Schizosaccharomyces pombe: one gene and its partner. The gene in region 1 interacts genetically with each later gene. Each region holds a gene or a part of one and is shown in the gene's direction. Other genes may lie near its edges. The genes, in order: hse1 and sst4.

What was found.
Region 2: of hse1 (region 1) and sst4, changing one enhances a phenotype caused by changing the other (phenotypic enhancement), as found in Schizosaccharomyces pombe (one study listed by BioGRID).

The regions. Positions count from the first base shown.
Region 1 is NC_003423.3:1,066,204-1,080,008, forward strand, and holds hse1 (ESCRT-0 subunit protein HSE1), read left to right. Parts: upstream 1-8,175; 5' UTR 8,176-8,195; coding exon 8,196-8,323; exon of another isoform or gene 8,324-8,367; coding exon 8,368-8,443; intron 8,444-8,616; coding exon 8,617-8,836; intron 8,837-8,894; coding exon 8,895-9,592; 3' UTR 9,593-9,750; downstream 9,751-13,805. Other genes in the region: fol1 (dihydropteroate synthase), read left to right, coding at 1-198; mannan polymerase I complex subunit Anp1, read left to right, coding at 889-2,181; DNAJ protein Spf31, read right to left, coding at 2,907-3,485, 3,689-3,739; rhp18 (postreplication repair E3 ubiquitin-protein ligase), read left to right, coding at 4,055-5,218; TRAPP III complex subunit Trs8502, read right to left, coding at 5,368-7,224; yea4 (NST UDP-N-acetylglucosamine transporter), read left to right, coding at 10,144-11,094; ipa1 (mRNA processing protein), read right to left, coding at 11,236-11,763, 12,245-12,715. UniProt on the Schizosaccharomyces pombe protein: Component of the ESCRT-0 complex which is the sorting receptor for ubiquitinated cargo proteins at the multivesicular body (MVB).
Region 2 is NC_003424.3:2,469,910-2,480,010, forward strand, and holds the start of sst4 (ESCRT 0 complex subunit sst4), read left to right. Parts: upstream 1-7,961; 5' UTR 7,962-8,209; coding exon 8,210-10,042; 3' UTR 10,043-10,101. Other genes in the region: nonsense-mediated decay protein Upf2, read right to left, coding at 1-2,034; protein prl65, read right to left, coding at 2,685-2,840, 2,952-2,993; U3 snoRNP-associated protein Imp4, read left to right, coding at 4,808-5,677; pbr1 (putative dehydrogenase), read right to left, coding at 6,057-7,187.

The DNA.
Region 1 (13,805 bases):
CATTGGCTTTCGGGTCCAAGCCGTAAAGGGTTTACTGGTTACTTTACTGGAGACGCTAGCCCCAAAGACCGTATATGGGGTACTTCAGCTTGTGTTACAGCTAGTGTTTTACAAGGAGTAAGTATTGTACGTGTACATGACACTAAAGAAATGTCTAAAGTCGTTGGTATGGCTAATGCTATACGTTACGTACCTTAATTGCTTTGTTCTAAAATTCCAAGTTTAATATAATTTTGAAAACTTTGTAAAACAACAGTTAACGTAAGAAGTTGGTTATGTTTAATAAATCAAATCCAACGGGTTATCTTTCGTCGTTGTAGACCCGAGAATTTATCAATAACCAATGTAGTATCATTTTCTGACAATGTTCACGGATATTGTTAACAATTTAATTTTGAATTGGATATCTAATATTCACAGGTTGAATAAAATTAGTTTCATTATATCATCACATATTGTAATTTTAGTTAACGAGGATTATGTTTGTAAGAGAAGAGAAAATAACTGTGGCAATTATACACGCACTTGCAGATGCAATTGTAAATTTTTTAGATATAATGAATAGTTGTACCAAAAATGTTCCTGCTTTTACTTTTTTTTAGAAGATAGACATTGGAACGCGGCTTGCTTAAAAACCTGGCACGTGCCTTTTTTATTTTTCGTGCATTGGTAAAAACAGTACTGTTTAAGTATTAATAAGCTTAAATTAATTCTTTAAATTCACAGTCTCCAATTTTTTCTAAAATTCTTGATTTTGGTATTTTTGCTTAGCCTTCGCGTTCGTTATATTTATATACTACCAACCACTTTAAACTAAACCAACCCCGTACCTTTGGTAAAGTAGCCACTACTGCTTTATAAAGCTATTTATTGTTAATCTCTTCCACAATGAAAGCAAATAGAGACTTTGGAAGAGATGGTGGCCCTTTTAGTATTACGCCGAATCGATTCCAGCCTAAATCCAGCGGAAATCCCATATTCCGACAGAAAACCATTCGAACTGTTGGGATAATTGCTTTAACACTGGTCTTATTTTTATTCTTCCATCGTTCATTCTTCTCTTCTTTTGGTGAATTTCCCAGTTTTTCTTCTACCGCGAACGCTCCTAATTCTGATGTGCAAGAATATGACTTGCGAAAAGTAATGAACGCTAAATTTACTGGAGATTATTCACCGAAAGAAAAGGTGTTGATTTGTGCTCCACTTCGAAATGCTGCAGAACATCTTAATATGTTTTTTGGTCACATGAATAACCTGACTTATCCTCACGAACTTATAGACCTTGCCTTTCTAATTTCAGACACTGATGATAATACTCTCGAGGTTTTGAAGCAACATTTAGACGCTATTCAAAATGACGAGGACGAATCTAAGCATTTTAACAATGTCCTTATCATGCTAAAGGACTTCGGTGCTATTTTCGGTCAAGAATTCAGTGACCGTCATGGATTTGCGGCACAAGGTCCCCGAAGGAAATTAATGGCTCGTGCTCGTAATTGGCTTTTGTCAGCCGCTATACAGCCTTACCATTCTTGGGTTTACTGGAGAGATGTTGACGTGGAGACTGCTCCAAACACTATTTTGGAGGATCTTATGCGCCATGATAAAGACATTATTGTTCCTAACGTTTATAGACCCTTACCAGATTGGTTGGGCAATGAGCAACCATATGATTTAAATTCATGGGCTGAATCTGAGACTGCTCTTCAGCTTGCAGATACTTTGGGCGAAGACGACGTTATTGTAGAAGGATACGCAGAGTATGCTACCTGGCGCCCTCATTTGGCTTACCTTCGTGATCCTAATGGTGACCCATCTGTTGAAATGCCACTGGATGGTATTGGTGGTGTATCTATTATGTCTAAAGCTAAAGTACACCTAGAAGGTTGCGAGTTTCCCGCATTTTCATTTGAAAAGCATGCTGAAACCGAAGGATTTGGAAAAATGGCTAAGCGGATGGGGTTTTCCGTTTACGGACTTCCTCACTATGTTATTTGGCATATTTATGAACCTAGCGATGATGATAAGCGTATTATGGCTGAAATGGAACGCGAAAGGAAAGAAAGGGAGGCCGCAGAGCTTGAAGAGGCTAAAAAGTATCAGACTGCTGGATTCACGCAACCAGATGATCAGGGTGCTGAAGAAGGTCCTTTGGCACATGCAGACGATCATGTTGATTAAGCTCCCTTACTTTGTAAAAAAATTCCTGAGCACAGTAACCATGTTTTACAGTCCTCTCTCTTCTTTATTTAAATCGCTGCCCCTTTTCACTTACATATATAATGATGGTCGCGTTTTTTCTTTATTCTTATTTCTTTTTATCTCTTTTAAACATATGATCAAGACATAATTAGTAATTTTAGTGTTATTCTGCCCTCTTTTTTTTAACTTGGTATACGAACTCATAATGGGATGCACGTTAGGATGATGCTTGTTTCTTCAGTTGGTGCGCTTTAATGCTATGCCAGGAAAAAAAGGAAGCTCTTGGTCTTATTCTCTCTTTAAGGACTTTTTCCTCCAAAAAGCCTTGTACATACAAACATCTTTAGTTTGTTGTTTATTCGACAGTGGGTAGGGCAATCATTCTCTTTCTTTACATGCACCCATTAGGAATATATGCCATAGAACGCTGTAAATATACAAAGCAGTTACCATGGTTAAACGGCATTCATATTAATTCTATTACGATACTGATACATATCACTGTCGAAAAGCAAATTTCAGTAGAATTTGTTGATTAGTTTACTTAATGGTAATCTGCTCACGTAGCATGAAAAGAAATTTCAATTTATAAATTGTTGAAAACTTCATATTAAATCATTTCAATCGCATAGGTCATGTACAAATACTAAAAGAGGTTAAGTCGTCGAAGCTTTAATGTACAATAAAACGCGTAACTTCGTCTTTTATCCAAGAACCCTTGGTTTTTTATTCTTCTTTTTTAAGTTATTTTTCTTCGTTTTGTGAAGGAAATCCTGCCAATTTCCCACACGATTATCTCTTGTCTCTTCCCAAACCTTTTCTGATTCTACACGACGCTTTCGTTCTCTTGCAATTTCATCTTGACGCGCTTGTTCTCTTTGCTGGTTTGCTAAATCGAGCTGCCGTGCTCGTCTTCTTGCAACTTCATCTGCAATAAGGATTTCACGCCAACGTACTTTTAAATCAAATAAAAACTGGTCTGAATGGACGTCTTCCGAATTTGGAGACAATTTTTTTTCTTTCAATAGTTGGTTCCTTGCAGCTGTGTAAGCCGAATCAAGAGATTCCCGAATCTTATCATTAACTAGATCAGACTCCGCCTTTTTTAAAATGTCGAATGCGTCTGCAGCTTTTGGGTTATCGCGATTTTTGTCTGGATGAATCATTAATGATTTTTTCCTGTACAAATTTCGAATATCATCAACACTCATTCCTGGCAAAATATCAAGAACATCATATGCATTTAATTTAAAGGAAGACAATATTCTGTCAATCTCACGTCCCTAAGTAAAGGTTAGAATTCATCGACTTTGTTTGATTAGCAAGTAATATACGCATAGGCAAAGTTATTCTATTGTTTCATTGTAGTATATAATCTGTATAAACAAAAAAAAAAAAAATTCTGAGAATAAGATAAATCGAATCAACCTACTAAGGTACATCTAGAAATCTTCACATGCAATGTCAATAAAATGCTAAAACTTACTCTGTTTAAACTTCCTTCAACTCGATCTAAAAACTTTGCAACGTCTGCCATTTCTGACCGAGCCCCAAAATTGAAATTACAAGAGTGCAAATTTCAAAAATCCTTTATAGATAAATTTGGTGGTGAGTTAGGTTTTGCATTCGCCAACTTCTGGTATCGAGGGTAAGAATCTGTAAGTACGTTTAGAAACAGGTTCTTTACATTTGTTCTTTAAATGTAATAATGTATATGAATATACATATTCATTTACATATCGATGTGTCTAAGGTTTAAAAATTTACCGTCCGAGAGTGCTCTTACGAATCCCTAATTAAGTTTGAATATTAGTGCATATTAACTATTAATGGGTTTGCAATTTAAAATAAGATGAATGAACTAGATGCTACAGATCCATCTGATTGGAACCAAACGAAAATACCATCGTTGAAGGGCTTGGATTCTTCTTTACGATGTCTGATTTGTCATGAATACTTTCGCGCCCCCTTAATTACTTCTTGCTCACACACCTTTTGTTCGTTTTGTATACGCGATTATCTGAGAGAACATCCTATGTGCCCTGCTTGTCGTGCTCCTGAGCAAGAAAGCCGCTTAAGAAAAAACACTATATTAGAAGAGATTTTAGAGTCCTTTAAAGTGATCAGGCCAACATTGTTTGAATTCTTAAAAGTAGAAAATGTGCCAAAGCCAGTACTTCAAGCTCCTGAAACAGTTATCGCACAGGATTCAGCTTCTGGCGATGAGGAATGGGAAGACGACTTGGCTTCAAATTCATCTCCTGCTTCTATAGCTAAAAAGACATCTAGGGATTCTAAAAAGAGGAAACGTGAGGATTTAGTTCACTGCCCTGCATGTTCAAATTTAGTTCCTCATAATCAAATTAATCAACACTTGGATTCTTGTCTTAACTCACCTTCTTCCCCGTCTTCCTCTTCCTCACCTTATAAAAATAAGGATAATAGTAAATCTAATTCATTACTATCATTCAAAACAGATGATGATTCTATCACGAAGCGCAGGTTAAGGTCGTTTAACTCTGCAGATGAACTACCCTTGAAAGATCGAGTGCGGCTTCCCAAACTAACTTATGCACTCCTTTCCGAATCAAAAATTCGTTCCAAATTATCAGAGATGGGGCTTCCAACCGATGGACATAAACAACTATTACAACGTCGACATGCTAAATGGGTTACCCTTTACAATTCTAATTTAGACCAGAAACAACCTGTTTCAAAAAGAAATTTAATTCGCCAACTTATAGATTGGGAGCGCGTTCAGTCGAAATCAATTGGAGTAGAAAAAGAAAAACTAGGAGGGGGCGATTGGGAGAAGGCATACGCTGAGGATTTTGCTGATCTCATCAACCGTGCAAAACAATCAACAACTAACAAAAATGATTCATTGAGGAACACTGCTGTTGAATCTTCCACCGAACCTTCTACATCTAACGGTTTTCCTGCCACTTCAGTTAGTCCCCCTCTTACTATTGACCTTACCAATTCACAAACGGGATCCGATGGACCACAGTCCTAATCATTAATTTTCGTTGGATTCGTTTTAACGAATTTTCATTATCAGATTAACTTATTAGTTTATTTCGCTATATATAATCACATTAATAACCTGTAGAAATTTTGATATTTGGTAAATAAAATAATATACATTTTGAAAGTGGGGCATTTCTAGCTAGAAGGAATATTAGAAGCAGGTTGTTTGGAGACTTCGACTTCGTCAAGTGCTGCAACACACTCCTTCAAATCCTTCCAATCGATTTTTCCATAAAACAATTTTGCTTCCTCTACAAAAGGCTTGGCACGAAAGGGAATGCGACATCTCAACCAAGCATCGGCAGTTAATACACACCAAAGTGCGGCTTTACGAGTTCGCTTATTAGAGAACGGGTCCGTAGATTCAGTTTTTAAATAAGAAAGGGATTTAAAGAGAGTGTGAGTTTGTTGAAAGATCATTGCTCTTCCTACAGGACCCAATCTCTTAGAATAAAGCAAACCTGCATTCCAGTTAGCAGCATCGTCCACTTTTGGAGCTGGTAAACAACTAAGGAATTGTCCCAGGAGAAGGAAACAGCGCGCAGCATGATAATAGGAATTGAAGGATTTATTCAAATAATTTAACATAGCAGATTGCATATACTCGTTTATTCTCAATGTGTTCGTCAAACTCATATATGGCATTTTTAGGTGTAAAATATGTTCAGTTATTACAATCATTTCTAGAGAGGCAGCAGAATATAAGCAAGCACCATCATTTTCATACTGTCTTGATGCAATTTCATAAATCTGATTTGCATGAGAATAATCTCGTAGCATGAAGGAATAGTCGGCAAGTTTCCTAAGATATGCCTCTGGTGAAAATGGACGATAGGCATTAGATGAGGGGAAATAGTTAGAATTGGTAGAAGCATTCGAACTAGATAAATATTTTCTGGATGCAAATAACAGCTTACCGGTAATCCCTCGTCTCGGAGAAGCATATTGATCATCCCATGCTCTTACGCATTTGTCCAAATAAGAGACAATTCCGTTGAACGCAATGTGCGAAGATAACCGTCGCAGTGATTCATTGTCGGATTCAAAGAGTAATCGTATTTCAGTATCCGTATTAGATAAAAGGTGTAAACGTTCTTCAGCAGACAACCAAGAGGATGTTGGAAAAGGAACGGTATGTTCATAATCTAAGGTAGCCTTTTGTGAATGAAGGCGAAGAAAGTATCCACAATCTCCAAATGTCTGCTTCATCGTATCAAATATAGCCATTGAAAGCTCCAAATCATGTTGATCTTCATCATGAACATATACGAAAAGGTAGTTTATATCATTGAAAACGAAAGCAGGAAGGGAAAGGTAGGGAATCGAATTAATCAAAGATCTGAGAGATTCAAAAGGACTAGGATTATGCGAAGTTACTACGACAAGGTGAGCAACGGGATGAGAAAAAGTTTCAAAAGGAGTAATAGGTATCCCAGTTAGTAACTGTCGCACATAGACAGGAAGTGGCATTTGGTAATTCCCTTCATGAGCCAATGTCCAAGCCCATCGTTCAACGTTTTTATAATGAACGCCAAAGGAATAATCTGAAGGGGGTTCAGGTGAAACAAGACCTGGATATCGCTCACATAAAACCGAGCGAAGTGAAGGAAAAGATGCTTCACTTAAGTGGCTTTCTAAAGCATCAATTGGGACAAAATGTAAATTTAAATTTTCCAACGTCAGCATTTCTCCATTCATTCCTCTACGGTTTACCTTTCCACGAATACGGTCTCCAAAAGGATACAACAATTCCCAAAACCCCTTAGGATATCCCTTCCTCATGGCAAACTCGTCAGCATCTCGGGAACATAGGACCGAAACTCGCGGAGCATATGCTTCTTGGATGATGGAACACAACTCCTCCATCGAATACAGTCCTTTCGACTGCATTACCTTTTCAAGATCTTCTGTTACGGGCTCTTGAAACAATTCCCCTGATGCATTAGCACTTGCATGTTGAAAAATACCTTTGGCGGAAAGGTTGCTTTCCATATTTTGCTGAGTAAATGTCAAATTCAAGCTTTTTCAATTAAAAACTCGAAATCCGACACTTAAATGACTTTATTACAAAGCTGATGTAGTGAAGAATACATGCAATGCACCTTTATCAACAAATTTTTTAGACTAGAAGTTAACTACCTCAAGGGTATATGGAGAGGATGTACGAGATTTGACAGCAGACTAGGTCACTACATAATTAATTGAATATAAAAAGAAAAAAACGATTTCATTTAATAAAAGTCTAATTAATCAAATTATGAGTATTTTGTTCGTATATTAGAGAGCTATGTAAAAGGACTGTACCGATCATCTAGACGACAAATATCGTACATTGAATTCACCTAGTTTGAGCCTTGAATGCTAACCAATGCTAAATGAAATGTAATGCTTTTTGGTGAGCTTACATATTATTTAAAATAATGAAATAAATATAGTAACAGCAAGCTGCGACTATAATACACTAGTTTTAATAGATATATAAATGAATTCTCAAATTGATATATGAGGACAAGGGTTTAATGTTGCTTCATAGTTTTATATTCATCATCATTCGTTAGAAAATCTAAACACTTGACCGATTAGAGTATTGCAGTATTTTAAATATACAGTTTGCTTGAGCATGAAAATACAACTCGGTAGTGAAACTGTCTTTTTATTCTAAAAGGAACCCAAGCTTAACCCAAAAAGTATAAATATTACTGAATATTTAAAAATTGACTCGTATTTTTGAACCAAGAATAATAAATCGGCTACAAGTTCTTTTTTAGAAGCACCCATGAATGTTGACTATATAAACCAACCACTTTACCATGCTTTTGAATTTATCTAAATAGAAATTTATTAAATTCACCTTTAACAGAACAAGTAGCAATTTGATTGATCTAAAATTTCTCGATTTATTACAAGGTTATATATATGTCTTGGATAAGCATAGTGGTCGCCGCCATCTCTTCTTCACCAATATGTTTCGAGGAAAACCCAACTCTATTGAGACCCTTATTTTACAAGCCACTGATGAAAAGAATACTAAAGAGAAATGGGACGTTATAATGGATGCGTGCGATCAACTATCTAGCACTTCTGGAGATGTGTAAGTTAATCGTAATCAGAGTCGTTTCACTAACTGGTTGGTAGTGGTCGGAACTCGATTAAATTTTTAAATAAAAGGCTGGATACAGCGAATGCTAATATTCAATTGTTGGCTTTGACGGTATGTTTGTACCACTTTTGAGGAGGAGGAAGCAATCAATTTATGATTATTCAATCTGGAACCACTGAGAATACTATTGTCTGTGCTTTACAAATTGTTTATTGTTCCTTATATCAATACACTCTATTTTAAAATGAATTGCGCAAATTTACTTTATCTAACGTTTGTTTTAGCTTACTGATGCCATTGTGAAAAATTGTAAGACTTCCATTGTACGAGAGATCTCCTCTAGAACATTCACGGATTCTCTTTTGAAAATAGCTAGTGACTCTACAACTCATAACCGAGTGCGTAGTAGAATCGCAGTTCTTGTCAACGAATGGGCTGAAATAATGAAAAAAGATCCCAACATGAGTCTTATGCAAGATATTTGTGAAAAAATTAGAAAGCTAGGTAAGTTTCATGCACGTTTGAATGGACAAGTTAAAGATAATATGATCTAACCTCTTAGATATCGTTGATTTACGAGCTCCTAAAAAGCCAGAAAAAGAAGCGATGAATGAATTAGAACTCAAAAGAGAAGAAGAGGAGCTTCAATATGCTTTAGCATTATCACTTTCGGAATCGACCGCGCAATCGAATAAAGTGGAAAACCCCCAATCCACTAAAGATGAACCGCTGCAGAAAACGAACCAACGGCAGGAATCAAACTTAGCTACTTCTCCTGCTTCGACAGTTTCTCGCGTTCGAGCGCTTTATGATTTCGCGGCAACCGAGCAGGGCGAACTTTCATTTAAAAAGGGAGATATTATATTAGTCCTGGAAAGCGTGTATAAAGATTGGTGGAAAGGTTCTTGCAAAAATGCTGTTGGAATCTTTCCCGTCAATTATGTGCAACGAGTCGTTGAGCCTACCATTGAGCAGCAACGTCAATCTGCACATATGGAGCAGCAAGTTTTTGACGCGCTTCCTCAAATAGATGAACTACTTGATACCTTATCGACTACCTCTCCTGATGCTGCCGATGATGATGCTCTTCAAGGAAAATATCACGCGATGATTGCCCTGCGTCCAAAGCTTGTAAGATTAATTGAAAAATACGCATCTCAGAAAGAAGAACTCATGGATCTGAATGAAAGGCTTTTAGTTGCTCGCCGTGATTATGAAAAACTTTACGAACAGTCAATGTCTGAGATGAGGAATTTTTAAAGCTAATCATCAGCTTTTTGCAAGTTAATGTTTTTGCAAGCAAGTGCTTAGTTATTATGCTTTTATTTAATGGTTATAATTATTGAGATATTTTTAATAAAACAATTTTTTTTATTTTAATTTACTTTCTCAATTAAAGGTTACACGACTGTTAGTTTTAACAAAGGTGTAAACGAATCTCATCGATCCTATTTTAAAAATAAAAATATAACTAGAATAAACCTTTTTACAAAATTGCGTTCTAAAAAATATGTATGAATATAATAAATACCAAAACGCGCGAAAGCAAAGCCCGCGATTGTCTAATTGTCTTCACCTCTACACTTCCCTTAAGCCAAATTCGACCTCAATTTACATATTTGTTACATAAGAATTAACTGATTCTTTTTTACACATTCTTTTATTTTAACAGACATTATTTGTTGAAGCCTTTTGTTCATTTTGGTATACTACAATATAGCAGTCGATTCTTTTATTTTCCATAACTTTAGGATTACCAAGAAGCTGACATTGGTTCACAAATACTATAATTATCCAAAGGAAGCATTAGAATGATAGCATCTGCATTGTCTTTCATATTTGGAGGTTGCTGTTCAAACGCATATGCGCTTGAAGCACTCGTGCGAGAATTCCCAAGCAGTGGTATTCTGATTACGTTCTCGCAATTTATACTGATTACTATTGAAGGCTTGATATACTTTTTGCTAAACGACGTTCAGTCATTGAAACATCCAAAGGTGCCGCGTAAACGATGGTTTGTGGTTGTAGTAATGTTCTTTGCTATTAATGTTTTGAATAATGTGGCCTTGGGGTTTGATATTTCAGTACCAGTACATATTATTTTAAGAAGTAGTGGACCTTTAACAACAATGGCGGTTGGCAGAATCTTAGCTGGTAAAAGATACTCAAGTCTTCAAATTGGAAGTGTCTTCATACTTACTATTGGTGTCATAATAGCAACGTTGGGGAATGCGAAGGACTTACATTTGCATGTAGAATCAATGACTCGATTTGGCATTGGATTTACTATTCTGGTGATAACTCAAATACTTGGTGCCATCATGGGATTGGTATTGGAGAATACCTACAGAATATATGGCTCAGATTGGCGTGAAAGTTTATTTTACACTCATGCTCTTTCCCTTCCTTTCTTTTTGTTCCTTTTAAGGCCCATAAGAAGTCAGTGGAATGATTTATTTGCAATCCACACGAAAGGGTTTTTAAATTTACCTTCCGGAGTATGGTACTTGTGCTTCAATACGTTGGCTCAGTACTTCTGTGTACGTGGAGTAAACGCGCTAGGGGCAGAAACATCAGCTCTAACAGTCAGTGTTGTTTTGAACGTCAGAAAATTTGTGAGTTTATGTCTTAGCCTCATTCTCTTTGAAAACGAAATGGGACCTGCCGTAAAATTTGGGGCTTTGTTGGTGTTTGGATCCAGCGCAGTATATGCTTCTGCTCGGTCAAAACCAAAAACAAATGGATTGAAAAAAAATGATTAATTTACATATACATACTATGTGCATAACAACTAGATATCAAAAAAATAGACGGTTCATTTCTCTTTCAAAAAGGATACATTAAAAAGTATTTAACTTTTTGAAATAATTGCCAATTAAAAATTTAAAAGGATACATGACACATTAGATCATTTGTTTATGAAATTTCGGCAGTAAACCGACTTTCCAAGGACCAAATTTTTGAGCAGAGACCGGAAAAGAAAGATTTCCTTTTTCCAAAACATGAGAAATTTCGTCAAAGGCGTGACTTGAAACGGGTATGTCCATCCAATCCTCGGAGCTTTTAGTAAAATCGGGAGGAACTTCTAGTTGATAAAGTAATTTTATGGTAGAGATTGGACTGTTTGCAAACTCAATGCTTGAAAACGGACTTTTTTGAAAAGAAATTGGTAAGTGTGGTACGAAACACCAAGTCCATATACTTCGCTCGCCGTCTACAATGACAAATTTGTGAGTGGCATACATGTCACGCAAAGTTAGTATTTCCGAAGCAACTATAAAGGAAGGATGAATTTTTTGATCGTCAATACATATACTAGACTTGTCAAGTCGTACGCCGTTACTCGAATCTTTATTGTTTGGGAGTCCAAGTTCTGCGTTACAAAAGGAGCAATGAAGTTTGAAGTTAGGTCCATAAGCAACCTTTCCCTCCTAAAATCTTGTTAGTCAAAACTCTTTTGTAGAAAAATAACAAGGTGATTAATCTAAGGAGAAAGTGAATCTTCTTCTTTTATTCCTGTTCAATCATGTACAACTTATTTAACCGCATCATGCCAAGACTCTGCAATGAGCGACCTGGAAATAGGTTGCATTTATTTAAAGTATCCAAATTACCCTCTTTTGGAACAAGGGGTACAGATGGAAATACAAAATTGCATTATTATAGGGCTTATGTATCACCATGGTTTGGAAGGAAGAAACGAAACCATGGGTTTCTTTTAAGCCCATTAAAAAAAAAAAAAAAAAAGAAAAAAAGAAAAAGAACACCCAGCTATATGAAAGGGCTATTTATGAAGACGATGCAGTAGAATGGATAATTCAAAATTCTTACTCACTGTAATGGATGAACATTACAGCCAATAAAGAGGAACGAATAGAAAATTTGGGAAAGAAAAAAAAATAAAATACTTACCAAGGATTGTAGTCGAATGAGGACATAAGACGTACCCAAATAAGCACAGTCATCAGTAGGTTGAAACATTGAAGGACCCCCTCTTTTGGAAAGGACCGTAGGATAATCTGTATGACAGGACCAGCAATCTAGCATTTCCATCCAATTTGCAGATGGTAGATCTTTCCAAGAAGAGATGCTTGTTAAGAAAGATTGACATTGTTTACATTTAATGGTACTTTTGACAGCATCATCTTTATTTAAATCAATAGCCTTCCAAGGAACCTGTATTTCATCGCTATATGTAACTGGAGGACACGAAATTACCAATTGAATAGTATCCGAGCGTATAATAGGATTAATTGGAGTCGACCTAGAAAGCGTTAAGGGTAAAGGGAATTTTAAGTCAGCGACGCATTTTGGGATGTCTTTTGTTTCTGGATCCAAAAAGACATTTACCCTACCTACATGAACGAGATATTCAGCAAGCATGCAAAGTCTGTATAGATGATTCGCTGCTTATTGATCGAAGAAGAAGCAAAGAGCAAAGGTGAAGAGAAATTGAGACGAATGATATAACGAGAACTAGTGCCAAAAAAGTTAATTATAGCGAAGCACTAACGTATCATTATGTTACGATACATGACTATATACAAAAATTGAGAGGTTTGAAAGTTACTCTCGCTATTCCATCAGAAAGCGTTGCAAAGCAGTGTAATATCATCCAGCGTAGTTTAAACTAGAACCGTATTGTTTACTGAATGCCAGCAATACACTACTCTATGATACACTGTGTTGCGTATTACTATATGGCACATGTTCTAATTATATATCATACTATGTATGATACGACATTGAGATTGATCTTAATGATAATTTATTAAGATCTATATTATCTGAATACTATAAATAGAGCTACTGCTGAACCTCGTTCCTCAGTTCAGTTATGAGCTATATCGGTGACCGATACTAAGAGACTTCTTATAACAATAAATATACGTTATTAGTTAACATACCGCATACCGCTACATTGTAGGTCGCAAGTAAACTCACCACAGTTCTGTGTATCGTTAAATAGATACCAAACTGCGTAGCTGATACTGAATGAGAAGTGTAGTAAATAATAAAAGAGGTTTGTGTCATTTATGAAGGTGTTTTTGAGGAAATAATTATTATAAATAATTGTTGTGTTGCATATAAACAGGATTTAAAGGTAAATAAGGGAAGAAAAAAGCTTAGCCAACTTGAGTTGACCCCATAAAAGAAACATATATTATTTATTTATTCGTTAATGTTTTTTAAACACAAAATGTAAACGATTCATTGATATTGAAGAATGTAATAGTAAGAAAAAAATTAATGAAATATTTAGAAAATACAAATCAATTGCAATCTCGTTATTTTTTTCTTGTGTAATAAAAAAAAAAAATTGTGCAGTGAAAATTAAACAAGTTTATTATGACAGTAGAATAAAACACTTATTAACCATCTATCCTACACAAAATGCATTAATTTCTTTCTTTTTAATTTTAGTCAATTATTTACTTTTGAATTCACTTCACATTCTCATTTACTTTTAGCC
Region 2 (10,101 bases), on another chromosome or scaffold:
GTCTTTCCAATCAAACTTCCTAAGCAGTAAAAGGGTCGGAAAGACATTGTCATCTTTTAAACGAATTTGAATTAAATCGTACAAGAATTCCTCTTTCAATGATTTTTTTTTTGAAACTATGATACCACGCTTTGGCGGATTGACGAAGTGTAAAGCATTTTCTAGTACAAGCTGATCTTGAGAGGCAAGCGCAGAAGCCAATTTTTTTTTCTGAATGGCTTCTAAAAACGATTGCATTTGCAACTTGGTTTCCGGATAACGAAGAAGAAATCTCCCACAACTTTCTAAAAGTAATGCTAAAACTTCCAAGTCAAATGGTGTAAACTCATTTATACACAATTTATAGCATTCAAAAACCATGTGGAAAGGCATCAACTGAAATTTAGTAAGTTCAGAAATATAACGAACAATAAGCAATCTAGTATCGTATTCGTGCTTAGCTTTTCGATGAATCATCCTTTTGAACGAATGTCTTGCATGATCTACCAATGAAGTGGAAAACTCTGATGAAAGTTGAGAAAGAATACGTGCTAATCGAACATAATAAGGAACAAGGAAAGACGATGTCCTAGGGATAGTGCACAAAGCCTTTATAAGTCGATTCCTAGATGCCTTTGTATTTAAGTCGTAAAACTCCAAGGCCATTTCATTCGTGAGTTCTAAGGAAACCATGGAGGGTAATTTTAGCAAGAAGTTATCAACTCTTGAGCTTACTTGCGTTGTATTTAGATCGCCCGTTGAGTCCTTAAGATCATCTTCTTTTTTATTGTTTTCAGATGAAGAACGAATACCTTCCTGACTGGATTCGTAAATGCTACTTTTCATTTCAGCTATAGAACCTTCATTAAAATTTGGGAACACCTCGTAAAAAAAATATTGCTCTCTATCATCCCAAACTTGAGCCGTTTCAACATTGGCAGACTCACTCCTTTCGCCTGATGCATTAAACACGCTATTAGTTCCAGAGGAAGCCTTTTCCATAAAGTTGAGTTCCAAGAGATCTTCGGAAGCTTTTCTATTCAATACTTCTGAAAGAGAAGCATAAGAAGAAAATTCAGACTCGATCGATTTTGAAAAGTTAGCAAGGCGCTGGAATTTTTCATTGTTTGGATCTGCCCTTATAATGCTTTGCTCTTGATATTGTTTGTTTAATTCTTCAAAAAGAGATTTTCGCTTTTGGCAGTAGACCTCTAATTTGTCTACGTAGGAATTCAACGACTTTCTTAAATAAGTCCTCCACACAACCGGATTAAGGCGATTAACTAGTTCTAAAGTTTCTTTATCTTCAAAATCCTCTGTAGTGAAAAGTTCGCAAGAAAAAGTCCTCACCAAAGATGTCAAAACCGGTAACAAGAGAAACCCAAATCTTGTGTCCATAAGGTCATTGAATAGCAGAACCACCAAGGGTTTTTTTAAATTTTGCTCTTCAAACCATGGCTTACGAAACTTTTTATCATTCGAATCAGTAGAAGGTAAATAAGAGACGAAATCCTCAGGAGTGCCAACAACACCATTTAACCAAAACTCAATCAAAAACCTAAGGAGCGGTCTAACTTTGAGTAAATGAGAGGAACGGTCCTTTTCGGAAACTTCGTTTTCATTTTGCTTTAGTTCAAAGTATGATTCGTGACACAATGAGTATCCTGGGTTTGGGTATAAAGCACAGTATAAGTTGGCCAGCATGGGTCCAGTAAAAGCCGTGGAAAAACGCAGATTAAGAGCCCAAACAATTTTGACTGACGACAGTATGTCTTTAGTAGCTTTACATTTCATCATTCCTTCTACGATGGCGGCGGTAATTTCAGGAATGAACTTTTTCAAAGACAGGGTTTTTATTTCCTTTATAAAGGAATCGTAATTTTCAGAAGTTAATGAGGACTTACATCTTTTCATAAATGCTGTATTTTTCTTTAGAGAAGAATCCAGCTGGCTCTCAGTATGAAATATATTTTTGTCACCATCTTTGGCTCGGAAGGCAAGCTCTCTATTATCCAAATATTGATTAAGTTTTTTTATTTGTTCTTCTCTTGACATAATTTAACGAAATTGCATTGAAAAGCACTTCAATTCTCATATCTTGTTTAGAACACTAGTCGACGATAGTTGGCGTAAAGTGAGTAGATAAATTTGACACATGTCCTCTTCCACAACGAAATAATATTGTAAAGTAACTATGGCAAGTATCTTAAATTATACTGGTTTTTTTTTTTAAAAAAGAATAAACAGTATTGGATTATATTTTAGTTGCATAAATGCTATATTGTTGCTGCAGTTTCATATATTAGAGGAATAAATCAATTGGGGATGATTAGAAGCAATAGGAGGTTTGTGCATTGGTACAATTTAAACATAATTTGTTAGGCATGAAGAATAAAACAGTTAATACAGGTAGATGTATGCATCATCTTGATAAGGACCTTTTATGATTGACGAAAATATATCTACGGTTTCCACTTTTACGCTTACTGTTGATGTGTAACAATCTTAAATAAAAAGGAAAAAAAGGTAACAGTAGCAATTTATTGAAGCTATTAAGTGTGCTAACAGAAATTCAATACAATTGTTGATACTCAGAAAGGGTAATTAAGCAATACTCAGAAAACCATGTATTGCCTTCGAATAAATAAAACACTTTTATAAATAAATATCATATTCAACAAAAAATTGCTCAGATCGTTAAAACATTAGTCTAGGATACGAGAAATGTTTCTCTCCTTGTAGGTAGCAGCCTTTCCAGTATGATCGTTCAATATTTCATAACGAGTCTCCTCTCCGCTATCGTTTTTAATCACCTGCTGGATAACTCCTGTTGAGGTGCTGGTACCGCTAGGGCCACCAATCTTAAACCATTTGTTAATACTTAATCACAGTCGAAAAACTTCAAGACACAATTCGGTACACAAAATACAGTGTACTTAACTGACATGCCTGAATCAAAAATTCCTACTTACAGGATGGTATTCGACTTTGTTTCCTTTAGAATATTTGGTCATTTTTTAAACGATATGAATATTTATGATTTTAGTATGCAAACCTCCAAATTATATAGTTTTTTTATTATGAAAGTGGCAACTAAACCTCTTAAACAATTGCACATAATGTTGTCGTGAGTAAGACGTAAACCATCTAGACGTAATCAATGCCTTTGATAATTTTTGTGTGAAATCTGATACATGCAACCCTGCAGTACAACGTAGCACGTTTCATCACTTCGTGAAGACACATGGATAAATCGTTCATCATCCAACACTTCCATTTGAGAAGAAGCGGCGATTGACATAACTATAGTGAACGTAATAAATTGTGATTGAAAACCAAGTTAGTCTTGTTTTTTTACGTGGCATCGAAGTTATATCTATAGAAATGTAGTATAGAAAAAAAATGTGTGAGATTGAAAGATAGATAGATATTAATTCATTCCAACTTTTAAAACAATGGTAGTTTAGCGTAACGATTTTTCGTCATATTTACTCATCAACGAGAATAATTTTTCCCATTGAAAGTTATCTGGATGAGACCGGAGTTCGCTCATGAGGTTGCAAATACGAGGTTAGATTAAATCGACTTTCTCATTACTACCAGCATAAGAAAAGTGATCCTAAGCATTTTTTAAAACATTAGTGAACTTTTCGAATCAATGTACAGTGTTCCTACTTCGCACTTTAAAAGATTTAGTTGGGTAGGAAAAACAATGTCAATCCTAACAGTAATTAAACGGATGTAGAATTTGGAAAATCGACAAACATTGTCATAGTCAACTTTTTTATATGAATGTGTTTCCAATTCCCAATATTCTGGGTTCATACAAGGCTAATCCTTCATCAATAAGCTTCAATTACCTATCCTTGTTTATTATCGAGCATTTTCAGAACCTGGTAAAAGCTTCTAAAAATTCAAAAAATCGGTCACTCTTTTTTTTGGTTCGTGAATTATATTTTTGTTTTGCTTCCCCTAAAACGTTTGATGTGAAAGTTAAATAATACGGATAGTAAATTTTCTAAAATATCTCTTCTTCTGCCTTCAGCTACTTGGCTGTTTGGATGGATAAGTTATAAACCAATTAAATTTTTAGAAAAGAATATTTAACTATAGTAGTATACTTAGTCGGATAAACCTTTTTCTACTGTAGTTTAACCAACAATGTTTTACAAAGATTTTCAGTGCTATAATGCGATTAGGTTGTAAGTGTAATTTTATTTAAAAGTCTAAACTTATGATCATATTAAAATACGCACATTTCGTATATATACGTGCTCAGTTGATTAGTGAAGACGAACATATAAATGATGAACGCTATAGAACAAAAAGTATTAAACTGAGACAAGTGTTTGCTACACAGTTTGGTATCCGATTTAAGGATACGTAGAACTGCGGTGAGTTTTCCTTGTGGTCTATTATATTACAATACACAGGTTGTATAAGTAGCAACTGAGTATAGGTATTGTATTAACTGGGTTATAATGTTACCTATCACTAATATAGCTCATAACTGAACTGAGGAACGAGGTTCAGCAGTAGCTCTATTTATAGTATTCAGATAATATTGATCTTAATAGATTATCATTAAGATCAATCTCCATATCGTATCATACATGGTACGATATATAATTAGAACATGTGACATATAGTGATACGCAACGTAGTGTATCATAGCGTAGTGTAGTATTGCTGACATTAGTTCGCGACCTATCCCCATGCAAAAAATATTTTCGGCATTAGTGTTAAGAACGAGGTGCATACAACTTTCGCATTGCAAACAGCTAGTTGCATACTGCAAGTGTAATTTTTTTTAATTTAATAATTTAAGATGCTTCGTCGTGCTGTTAGGGAAAGAAGACAGTTCATTTATAAGAGAAATCAAGAACTTCAAGAAGCAAAACTCAATGAAAAACGACGTGCATTAAGAAAAGCATTGGAAGGTAACAAAGAATTGAACAAAGATTTGCAGGAAGACAGTCAACTTCAAAAGGATTATAAATATGATGAAAGCAGAGCAACTCAAGAAGAGACAGAAACCAACCTTGACGATGAGTACCACCGTCTGGGTGAGAGGGAGCCAAAAGTTTTAGTTACCACCAGTCGAGAGCCCTCATCTCGTCTAGCGCAATTTGCAAAAGAAGTACGTCTCTTGATTCCCAACTCATATCGACTCAATCGTGGTAATATCGTTGTCGGAAGCTTGGTAGAAGCCGCTCGTGCCAATGATATTACCGATATAGTCATTTTGCACGAACACAGAGGTATCCCTGATGGTCTTGTAATTTCTCATCTTCCTTATGGTCCTACCTTGTCATTTTCTTTACATAACGTGGTTCTTCGTCATGATATCCCTAATACTGGTACCATGTCAGAAGCGTATCCACATCTTATTTTTGAAAATTTGACTTCAAAGTTGGGAAAGCGCGTTAAAACAGCTCTTTCTGCTTTATTTCCTCCAGACCCTAAAGATACTACACCACGTGTGGTTACATTTGCTAACACTGATGATTATATCAGTTTCCGTCACCACATTTACGCCAAAACAGGCCCAAAGCAGATTATTCTATCTGAGGCTGGTCCTCGCTTTGAGATGAAACTATTTGAAATTACCCTCGGCACCGTTGATATGGTAGACGCTGATGTGGAATGGAAATTGAAGCCTTACCAGCGTCACAAACGTGATGTTTTAGCTGAATGAGCGTAGGTATGATGGGTATGGTCAAACGGTTATTTTAGGTTCATTTGGGATACAGGTAAATAATTACAATTCTTTTATGTATAGGCAAGGCCATTAGAGTGAATGGTATCTTTGATAAATAAGGAGGCAAAACTTTCTAGTATTAGTGGTTAATGGTTATACTATTCAAAACATTAGTGAAGTAGAACATATATCAGTAGCGATTGTACTTGGGTTCCTTTTTTATATTTTAATTAGTTTACTTGAGCAATGTTTATGTACAGCTTAAAGTTTAAGCACTGTATTTGTCTTTTTAAAAATACCAACCTTTTAACTTCGGACCTACGTTATTATGGTGAATATTCCAACCAAATGACATTCCATATTTTTCGCTAAACTTCTATTTTTTTGATTTCTTGATTTTCTTCTTCTTGTATTGCTTTTCAACTTCATCAATTTGGGCATCGGCAGCTTTTATTAGTTTTTCAGCAAATTCCGGATCGGTAATTTCTTTGCGTGAATATTCAACTATCGAACATTCATTTACAAGGACGGGTTGAGTAATCGAAGCAAATTCGGGACTGCAAATAGCATGAAAAAATGATTGAGCACCATGAATAGTACCTTTCAGAAGAAGCCACCAAAACGGCCAAAGTAACAAATAAAGAAATAATCCCCAAACCTTTCCAAAGGATACAACTCTTCGAAATCCTGGAGTTCGAACGACACCTGGATTTGCCATGATGGTATGTAAATTACACGGCATTTTGTCAGGTCGTTCATGAGCTTCAGCTTTTTTCTGAAAATCATAAAGATAAGTCATCAAGGCAAGTTTGGCATTTCCCACTACCTTCCAGGGACTTTTTCGAGGATATGGATGATTAGATAAATCAAGATCGTTGAAATCTATATTACCTAAAATATATGATGAACAGGTAGCTGCAACAATTCGTACTTCCCTGTGCCCGGGCTGACCATATATAACTGGGCGGAGAATCCTAAGTAGCTGGTATGGACCTAAGAAATTTGTAGCCCATTGCAACTCAACACCTTCCTCGGTAGTTTGCCTATCCATAAATGGAGGCAGTAAAACTCCACTGCACAAAACTATCATATCCAGCCTACGAATAGGAGTGCAATCAATCCACTTTGTAGCGAACTTCCTAACAGATAACATAGAGCTCAAGTCACAGACTTCAGTATAAATTAGTTGGTTTTTTGTACGCTTTCTAAGGTCCATTATGTAATCTACAGTAAATTGATCTGGCTCTGTACGAAGTAGAATAACAACTTGAGCTCCCAGAGAAGCTAATTTCTCTACGACAACTTGTCCTATTCCAGAACTTCCCCCAGTGACCATGACTACCATTCCGTTCATTTTACGCTCCCAAGTTGTTGTTCGTCCAGAAGTCCAGAATTTAAAGGCCGCAATTGTTGAAACCGCAATCGCAGCCTTTGTATATTGAGCCCAATGTGTAATTAGATGCTCATACTTAAATTGTGCTATGTGAGCAATAATTGGAATAGGCATATTTCGTTGATTTACAAAATCTGTTGATGGAGTTGGCAAAAGGCAGCTACATACCACTGACATTGAGGTATACTAAACTCGTCTTCATATTTAATTCTTAACAATCAAAAATTTAAAACTTTTTTTTATACAATTGTTTTAACTTTAGATGGATTTAATTGTACAATTATTTAATCGCTTGACTGCTAGTGCATATTACTAATAGCAACTAGCTCCATAAATTTGACAAAGATAGGATTGAATTGTTTTTGTATATATACATAATGTAATTTATGGACCGTAAAACAGATTGCTTACAAATTGGAAAGTAAAATAGACTGTTTATATGATATATATGTGAAATTTGAAGATATACTAAATACTTGTTTTAACATAGGAAAATTAAGTATGTGTATACTACAACATTTGACATATTATTTTTTATAATATTTCAAGAAACACTGTGATAGTATATAATTCGCATAGCAAATATAAATTATTACGGTCTGTCTTATTAGCACCTACCAGAAGTACAGCACTCAATGGTGAGGTATCGTTTTCCTTCTTTGCTTATTTATGGTACCTTCAAAAAGGCTGAAACTACATTGCACGCTTTAGCTTGATCTACCTAATGAGTCTATAAACATCATCGATATTTACGACAATTAGTGTTCTCTCAATACTTGCTTTACTATATTTGCCGCTCTGCACTATCAACCGTTATACCGAGATGTGCTAAGCTGCCCGCACTATTACTTAGCAAGTTTGAGCCACGAACAATCTGTTATTGCTGTCGAGAACCAAACTCTTTCTCAAATTGAATTTTATTGGAAAGGAGGATTTACAATACATTATTTTGCCATAATTTCAAACAATCAGAAGAATTGTGCCAAAGTTGTTATACTTCACCTGCTGCTTTTGTTTATTAGGAATTTTTGAAGGCCATTGGTTATTTGTTTGGTGACAATTTAGCTTACAAATAATAAAAAGATTTCTTTTGTTTCTTAATTTCGGTTTTTCTTTTCTTCTCTATTTTCATAACGATGTCTCGGTGGTGGAATTCCAATTCTCAGTTTGCTTCCGACATAGAAAAGGCTACATCGGAAACGCTTCCTGCTGGCTCTGAAGAAATTTCATTATATTTAGAAATTTCTGATCAAATACGTAGTAAGTCTGTTGATCCGAAATTTGCTATGCGTATTCTTAAATCCCGAATTGATCATTCGAATCCGAATGTTCAAATAATGGCATTGAAGTTGACAGATACCTGCGTTAAAAATGGGGGTTCCGGTTTTTTATTGGAAATAGCTTCTAGAGAGTTTATGGATAATTTGGTATCTATTCTACGATCTCCTGCAGGAATAGACGAAGACGTTAAAATGGTCATTTTACGATACATTCAGTCTTGGGCTTTGGCAGTTCCAGATACCAATTCTCCACTTAGTTATATTATTCATGTTTATCAAAATTTAAAAGACGGTGATTATGAGTTCCCTGAGCCTTCTCAGAACATTACTAGCAAATTTTTAGATACTGAAACACCGCCCGATTGGACAGATAGTGAAGTTTGTCTTCGTTGTCGTACACCTTTTACATTCACTAATCGTAAACACCATTGTAGAAATTGCGGTGGCGTGTTTTGCAATCAATGTTCTTCAAAAACACTTTCTCTTCCTCACCTTGGAATTAACCAGCCTGTTAGGGTATGCGACAGTTGTTATTCATTACGTACGAAACCCAAAGGTTCCAAATCAAGAGCGCGAAATGAAAGGAAATTCCATGCGAAGACTAGAAAGACACCCTCTAAACCCGTAACTAATAATGAAGACGAAGATATCAAAAGAGCTATTGAGCTTTCCCTCAAAGAAATGCCTCAATCACGAGAACCTCCATCTTATGAAAGACCTTCAGAGGCCAATGTAGTTATTAGTCAAGACCAACATCTTACAGAAGACGAAGATGAAGAGCTTAAACGTGCTATTGCTATCAGCCTTGAGGAAGCACAGAAGTCATCTCAAAAGGATGACAATGTTACGGCACCTAACAATATGAATATTTCTTACCCTAGTGTTCCAGCTCACACCGTTTCAACTGATATTCGATCATCTCCTTTCTCTGGTAGGCCGAGTGATAATCCTTCTACTTTAATTTCTACTGCGGATGCTGATAACATCACTTTATATGCTACTTTGGTGCAAAAGTTAAAAAAGCTACCACCTGGGTCTATTTTTACGGAATATCAGCTACAGGAACTCCACGAAAATATGGGTGTTATGCGAACTCGTATGATGCGATCGCTTGGTGAAACAATGAGTAAATATAACGGGCTAATTCAAGCTTTGCAAAAGCTCCAAACTTGTATGCGATTGAATGATGCTCTAATAGAACAAAGACTTTCATCCACGTATGCACATCATTATATTGATTCTAGCATGGATTCAAACCGATCAATTGAACCTGAGCCGGATGTAATTAGCACTGTGAGGAATAGTTCAACCATTCCCCAGGCTTCGTCTTCTTCTGTCCCGAAAATCGTTGTCGATTCGTCTCCGGTAACAGAAAATCCCCCTAGTCATTCTGATGTGATGGGTCAGAAAGATACTATCTCCAGTTATTACTCGACGGATACAGACGTTTCTGCGAATGTAATGGGAAATCGACACGATGAAGTTGTATTTTCTGACACCGCATCTGGTGAAAAGAATACAAAATTAAATATCGATGAAAGTACCAACTATTATAATACTGATTCAATCGATAAAGTTGGAGAGCCTTTTGACGAAATTTCCTCTGGTTATGATGATTTAATGAATGGCAATGATAAGCAAGGTAATGATATTCCTGAAGTTCAAGAAGCATCTTTAATCGAGCTTTAGGTTTTAAACATCTTATAATACATATTAAATACTTAGATCAATTTATCGACAATGCATGT